Linked DNA regions of Arabidopsis thaliana. The protein of the gene in region 1 interacts with the protein of each later gene in a pairwise test. Each region holds a gene or a part of one and is shown on either strand. Other genes may lie near its edges.

What was found.
Region 2: the proteins of AGL81 (region 1) and GATA3 interact in a two-hybrid assay, tested with the Arabidopsis thaliana proteins (one large-scale study listed by BioGRID).

Annotation. Positions count from the first base shown.
Region 1 is NC_003076.8:15,905,216-15,908,721, reverse strand, and holds AGL81 (AGAMOUS-like 81), read right to left. Parts: upstream 1,848-3,506; coding exon 780-1,847; downstream 1-779. UniProt on the Arabidopsis thaliana protein: Probable transcription factor that may function in the maintenance of the proper function of the central cell in pollen tube attraction.
Region 2 is NC_003075.7:16,551,204-16,555,536, forward strand, and holds GATA3 (GATA transcription factor 3), read left to right. Parts: upstream 1-1,941; 5' UTR 1,942-2,276; exon of another isoform or gene 2,277-2,491; 5' UTR 2,492-2,496; coding exon 2,497-2,778; intron 2,779-2,879; coding exon 2,880-3,407; 3' UTR 3,408-3,669; downstream 3,670-4,333. Other genes in the region: AT4G34690 (uncharacterized protein), read right to left, coding at 4,260-4,333. UniProt on the Arabidopsis thaliana protein: Transcriptional activator that specifically binds 5'-GATA-3' or 5'-GAT-3' motifs within gene promoters. May be involved in the regulation of some light-responsive genes.

The DNA.
Region 1 (3,506 bases):
TTTGCAAGCTTCACAATTAAATTATATTCAGACTGCTATTTATTGTTTGTCTTGTGATGACTCCTTCACTCTCCTCTTGGCCTTTATCTCCTGATTCTATTAGTAGTGAAGATTATGTGGTTCTTTCCGGTTTAAGGATATGAGAGCTCAATAAAACTTTGAGAGTCTCCTCTGTCCTTTTAGTGTTCAGAAGTTTTGGTAAAAGGTGAAGACTTTTAGAATTGATGAAAAGGAAAAATGTAGAGTCTCTTCCCACTGGTGCTAACTTCAAATATCTGAATTGATCTTAGTGGATGTTCAAAGTTGAAGAGTTTTCCAGATATCTCAAGCAACATCTCATGTCTCTGTCTAAACCAAACAGGGATCGAGGAAGTTCCTTTGTGGATTGAGAACTTTGTTAGGCTCACATACCTAACTATGGTGGAGTGTAAAAAGTTGAAATATGTGTCCCTAAATATGGAGTGATAATATGGACTCTGAAGCTTTAAGTTAGGACACTGTTCTTCTATTATCCTTAATCCTTTTTGTGCTTTTCTTAAAATAAGTGATTTGGTTTGATATTTTCACGAAGCTATATACCAAATAATTGATAACTTTTTGATGCGGTGGAATATATATTCACTTGATAAATTGGACGTTCACATAGTAAAATATAGCTTGATACAAGAAAACATTATGCGTTATGCAATACTTAGCAAAATAAAACATCCACAACAAACATATTAAAATTCTTGAAGATGAAAAAACAGTTTCACACTCTCTTGACATGAGCTTTGTTATCAGAGAAACATCGAGTTGTTGATAAGAAGGTTGTTGTTGGTAATATCACTCGTGAACAGGTTCTGATCATAACCACAAGGAACATGCGGCATCAACCCATAGTTGTTGTTCACAGATTCTTGTACCACAGGAGCAGAGTGATCTTGTGTGTTTGAGACAAAAGAATGTTGAAAGTTGTTGTTGTTCATAAACATGTTCTGATCATAACCACAAAGCTCCTGTTGCATCAAGCCAGATTCGTCTTGTAGTAAGGCTGAGAAATCTTGATTGAGATTTGATGCAGAGAGTGGGATTTGAGAGAGCGTAGCATCTCCATGGTTACTCATGCACATGTTCTGCTCATAACCACAAAGATCCTGCTTCATTATCTGACTCTTCAACTCAGATTGTTCAAGTAACGCTGAGAAATAATCCTGATTGAAATTTGATGCAGAGACTGGGATCTGAGACAGAGTATTGTCTCCATGGTTATACATAAACAGCGAAAACTGGCTAGGGTTCAAAGATTGGGTCTGATGATTCAGAGAGGATGATGCTAAACTCTGATGATCCGGTTTTGTCTCCTTGTGTTTCTGCGACTCAACAAAACGAATCCTTTCTCGGACTTTAGAGACATGAGGTTCTAAGGACTGAATCAGTTGAGAAACTTGGTCGGGAGAGTAATGATCAGCGAGTGGATACTTTAAAATATTCACGTTCTTCAGACAAGTCTTCAAGTCATCATTGTCCGTTATCTTTGCTTTCTTCTCCAAGTTCGTCTTGTCCTTCTTCTTGTTCAGGAAGTCATAAAGAGTAACACTTTTCTTCCTTCTCAAGGCTTCGTTTAATTGACTATACCTGAGAGCGATGTCTTCCACTTTCTCTCGCTCCGGAGGCCATGTCTTGAGTTCTCCGTCTGGTCCGTAATAGATGACGCATGCTTCGATATCACAGAGAGTGCAAAGCTCTGAAGCTTTCTTGAAGATGGTCTCAAGTCTATTGCTTAGACTCGTTGAAGCGAGTGAATAAGAAGAAGAAGAAGAAGAAGAGGAACAGCGAGAGGAAGAAGGTAAAGATCGAATGGCCATCTTCTTGTTGATTATCTCTCTGTTTTTTTGTTTCTAGTAATTGAAAGCACGAAGACGAATGAAATTGAGAGAGTGAAACTACGAATTAGGTTTAGGAAACCCTAAGAAGATGATGAAGAATATGAAAGTGAGTGAGACAACTTTGTGAAATAGAAAATTTGGTCCTTAGGGTTAGAAAAAAATGCGTTTTTATTTTAGTTTTGTCACTCTTCTAATCGGTAAAACAAAAATCTTGTGAAGATTTGATTTCGATATCTTTGCATAGATTTTGTGTAATTTAGCCGTTAAGGATTGATAAAAAGGAAATAGTTAGTTTTTTCCTTTTCTTTCACTCTCTCTTAATTAATAAGAAGATCTACTATAAAAAGGAAAGATTTGCTTGTCCATATAGATTTGCGAGTCAACGCTCCGGTCAAGTTGTTAAAGTAGTTATACTCATTGTTGCTCAAAAACAGAGCATCCCCTGTTTCATTGTTTCTCAGAAACAGAGCATCCCCTGTTCCGTTGTTTCTGGCTGTGTTGTACGGGACTCCGACCATATGAGACGCGAAGTAAGAAGCAGCTGATTCTGTGCAGCTTGAGAGAAAGAATTAGGTTTTATCTTGTTGATATGTGGCTGAGAAAGCTAAGAGAGTTGCAGTGTTGTGTGACTGTGAGTTGTATTGGTTGTGAAAAGATAGATAAGCGGAGTTAGGGCGGAAATGTAACTAGTAAAGAAGTTTATGCTGCGTTTGGGTTGTGAGAGAATGAATAAGAGTTTATGCTCTAATCATCAGTGGAACTCTTGAGATTAAGGAGATGCTCTGCTTATTGTGAAGTCGTTGTTGAACTTTCAGAGAGTGATTATGATTGATACACATGAGTTTGTAACACTTAAAATGTGCAGATCCATTTTGGAAAGTTTAGTATTGGGATTTGATGTAAGATAAGGATAGTACAGTAACATGTGTATTTTTACTGTGTAAATAGTGACAAAAAATATCACTTAATTATTGAGTCTTCATGTGTATATGTTGATATAAGCGATAATAAATTCTTCAAATAAAGAATATCATATATATATGCACAGCCATAATTGAACCGATGGTTTTGGAGGAAGACAGCGAGATATAAGACGCATATGGCTCAATTGCTCAAGCGGCACAATCAAACTTTACATGTGACAAGCGTCTGAGATAAGTCCTTTACATGCTACAAACTCTACAGACAGAAGCATAAGAATTAAACAGGCAACTTTGAGGAAGCTCAAAAGAGCAATGCAATACAGTAGCAACTAGCAAGTAACAAGCAAAGCAATCAAGCTAGAGTTGTTGAACATTTTTGGTGATAGCACATACATGTACTTTACGAAGATAATCTTTTCTATTAAGTAACATCAAGTTAGAATTTGTATCAAGCACCCGATCAGAAGACATCACTAATGATCACTTTCATTACTTCAAGAATCCCCATTTTCCACAAGCACTAAAACCACACTACGCATAAAATCTAACTATTGACAGGCAAATTCCTGAAAATGACGATGGTGTAATAAGAGATGATAATAAATTCTTCAAACAAAACATATCCTCGAATTCAAAATCTTCAAACGCAACTAAAATGTGAAAACAAAAACTGAGTGTTTTAGTCTGAAAATAAATAAGTAAAAAGCTACTAGAG
Region 2 (4,333 bases), on another chromosome or scaffold:
CGAATAAGAGGAAAATGTGACACGTTCTCTTTTCCCCCATTACGCTCTCGTCACTCCTCACCAGCCTGCTCCCTTTTCAAACTTTTCTGTTTTCCCCCTAATTTTACGAAAATCAAAATAAGTTAAAATGGAATATATACCAACTTTCAAAATAAAAAATCTTCAAAACATATCAATGTGTATATAGCGACACGAGTATAAAGTCCCACACACACAATAAACTAAGGTTGGCAGAAAAAAATATACCACCAAACTAAGTGATCGTAACTACTCTTTCGAAAAAACCAAACCCTAATCTTGTTTTAAGACTAAGACCAATTATACTAAAAAGGAAAGATTTCATAATTGGAAGGAAAGTAGTATACTTTGATAGTTATTAAAAATAAAAATAAAATGTTCAAAAGATTTGGCTATAGTGGTTGCTTTGGTGAACTCCACTCCAACGGTGGTTTGCACCATCTCCATTCCCATCACTACCAAAAACCCACACTTCTTTTTTTTTTTCTTTCTTTGCGTAATGTGGGTTAAAAGGAACTTTATTTATGCTCTTGTTTTTGGGTGTTTGAATCGAATTTGAAATCAACATTTGTTTTTATTTTATTTTATTTATAAAAAATTTGTGTGTTTGGAAAGTTGTAAAAGGTTCAAGGGGTTTCGGTAGAGATAATCTTAATTTGGTTTTTAACACATCGACTTAATCCAAATTGACATCTCTAATAGGATTCAGATATTATTATATCTATCCTGTAATTTTCCATAAAATGTAATCAATATGAGATTTGGTATTAGGGTATGAACTTAATGTATCTTATCGGAAAAATGTTTTCTCCTTTGGGTTACCTAATCTCATATCTAATGCCAAAAATAGCATAACATAGAAGATTGGCTAGATCATATGTGGACATCACCGACTGCATGGCAATGTTTGTTTTATAATCGCGTAATACTTGTTTGTCATTTGCCAGTTCTCATAACAAATGCGAAAATAATCTTATATATCCTTGGTAATGCATGTAAAAATTAATTTTGCTTCATGAATTATTTTATATTCTTAAATTCATGACTGAATGAAATTTCTTATCTATATTCAGACGCAGTATATGGGACATCTAACTCAATTTTAAGATTCTAGATTGGATGATTTTATGTTGTTTGACAAAAAAAATAAAAAAATTGGATGCTTTCTATAAATTTCATGCTTTGTATTTTATTAAATTTTGAGCTATTATTGTATTAGTATAGAATTGAGCTATTATTGGATTGTTCTTATCACTTTGTTAATTTCATTTGGTCCTTTAGTTAGATATCAAAATTTTTAAAATTTTCAAAAAAGATCACAGGTTTAATCGGTGACTTTCAATAATACTAGTTTTAACACGACAAGCAAAATATTGTGCATGTATACTATTAAATTGTTAATGTTAGTACTATGAAATAACAAATTCATCACCATTGTAAAACTTAATGTTTCAACATTTCCTAAGAAGAAATGGTCAACCCTTTTGACAAGACAAGCTAAATTGGCATGGACAAGGAACACAGCATCATGATATAACCCTTCACAATAATTATAATAAAAACAATCAAATTTGTATTGAATAATGCGAAACAGACCTGACTTATCAATATGTGACGAAGGATAAGCCCACGCCAAAAACATCCACGTAAAGAACTCATTGATTAGGTCCAAAGAAATTTGGAGAAAATAAAACAAATCCTGACGTGAAAATAAAAAGAAATCATCACTTTTTTTTATCTCTTTTATTTTCTTCTAAATACAAAAATTGAATAATCAATTAATTTTTCATGTATGCAAACAATTTCTTAACAAGTCTTGTGAGCTTTAAATGAAATATAGAGGCGAGTGGATTAGACTTGATCCTGATCTTTTATTAAGCTGATCCATATTTTACATTGAAATAAAGGACACACCGTTTAACACGAAAATGAAGAGACAAATAAAGAAGAGGAAAAGCATTGATTCTGAAATACCAATATAGTATCATTCGTGAAAGAAGATTTTGTAATATTCCACAAACTTAGAAATTAGGGGAAAAGAAAACAAAAAAAAAAGATAGGAAAAAAGAGCTTTAACTTTTGGAATTGGAAGAAGCACAAACACACACAAAAAAAAAGTCTCTGTTTTACCTTTTAACCCCTTCAAGAATCCTCCTTTAAGTTCAGTGCCCTCTTACTTTTCTCTTATCGGAATATCTCTCTTCCTCTGTTTCTTCGCCATTCTCTCAGCTTTTCTCCTTCTTCTTCGTCTTTGTCAGGTAAAGAGATACGATGAGCATATCCCACATACCTCTCTCCTCTTCTCATCTTTTTAGTTTCTCGAAAGTTTGCATGCGCCGACTTTGTTATAGGTTATAAACTTTAGTTTTAAGCCTATTTTCGTATGTTTATGGTTGTTGTAATAGTTGAGAATTCAGAGTATGTCAAGTGAAACTTAAAAAGAATTCTATATGTATGTGTGTATGTGTTAAAGAGTGAATGGAGCTGTGGACAGAAGCTAGAGCCTTAAAGGCAAGTCTAAGAGGAGAATCTACTATATCTCTCAAACATCACCAAGTGATTGTGTCGGAAGATTTAAGCCGAACTTCTTCCTTGCCGGAAGATTTCTCCGTTGAGTGTTTCCTCGATTTCTCAGAAGGTCAAAAAGAAGAAGAAGAAGAAGTTGTCTCTGTTTCTTCTTCACAAGAGCAAGAAGAACAAGAACATGATTGTGTCTTTAGTTCACAACCTTGCATCTTTGATCAACTTCCTTCTTTGCCGGTAAATTTCTAAACTTCTTTATACCTTTTCTTTCTCTTCTTATAATCGAAAGATTTTAAGTTATATTTTTCTTGATTTCTTTTTTTTTGGGATATTTTTAGGATGAAGATGTGGAAGAGCTTGAATGGGTATCTCGTGTTGTGGATGATTGTTCATCACCAGAAGTTTCACTTCTCTTAACACAAACACATAAAACCAAACCAAGCTTCTCAAGAATTCCGGTTAAACCAAGAACCAAACGGTCTCGGAACAGTTTAACCGGTAGTCGTGTTTGGCCACTCGTTTCAACCAATCATCAACATGCAGCAACAGAGCAGTTGAGGAAGAAGAAACAAGAAACTGTCCTTGTGTTTCAACGAAGATGCAGCCATTGTGGCACAAACAACACACCACAGTGGAGAACCGGTCCGGTCGGTCCAAAAACCTTATGTAATGCATGTGGAGTCCGGTTTAAGTCTGGTAGGCTCTGCCCGGAATACAGACCGGCGGATAGTCCGACGTTCTCGAATGAGATTCACTCAAATCTTCATAGGAAGGTTCTGGAATTAAGAAAGAGTAAAGAGTTGGGTGAAGAAACAGGTGAAGCTAGTACTAAATCAGACCCAGTCAAATTTGGCAGCAAGTGGTAGATAAGACTTAGGTAAAACCTACTTTTTGTAACATTATCTGTAGTGTTGTAATTTAACAACTTGCTTCTTAACATTTTGAAACTGTTTCAGGAACTAGTCTTAAGTAAACAATGGTTTTCTATAAACAAAATTAATGTGTGTTTTTAATGATGTAAGACCACCACCACCACTACTAGTACTTGGAATGATTTTGGTCCATGTGTAGTGGCTTAAATAGACTTTTTGAGTAAACAAAATGCCAAATGGAAGAATCATCTTGAAAACTCCAACATTACTATATAGTATATATATTATTGATAAATCTTGAGATTCGACATATTTATTTGATAATCGATGCAAGCATAATTAATTTAGACATTTATTCAGCAAAAAAAAAAATTAGGTATGTAATTAATTTATACATATCGAATTACTAAAGGTTAATTTTCAGGCTAATCGTAGATAAACGATTTCGTTAAATCCCCATGAAAGTAAATTTAGGCAAATGTATGATGCTATGTCTGCCGCATAATTGTTTAATCTCACCATTTGCATATCAATCTTTAAGGGAAACATCCTTTTAATGTGTTTATGTGGCCTTGTCTCCGTTTTATTGCTACTTTGTGTCATACTCAAAATAAGTTGACTATAAAGCTACATGTATCTACACAAAAAGAGAGTTTATTTAGTATGCTTGCTTGGGAATAAGCAGGAGACAAAAGAAAACATCCAAGTTAAAACATGAAGCAGCAAAAGAGAGTGTTCATCCACAAAATGTGAGAGGTTTCTTAGCATATAAAGATATTGATATAAATCTAATCATTCTCGTAAGAACAAGAACAAAATGAAAGAGCCAAAAACTAAACCCATCTTTCACTTTTTAGATACGAGAAGTGCCACGATCTTTTGAAGATCTTCCTGATTTTGCTTTGCAACCTTTGTAATCT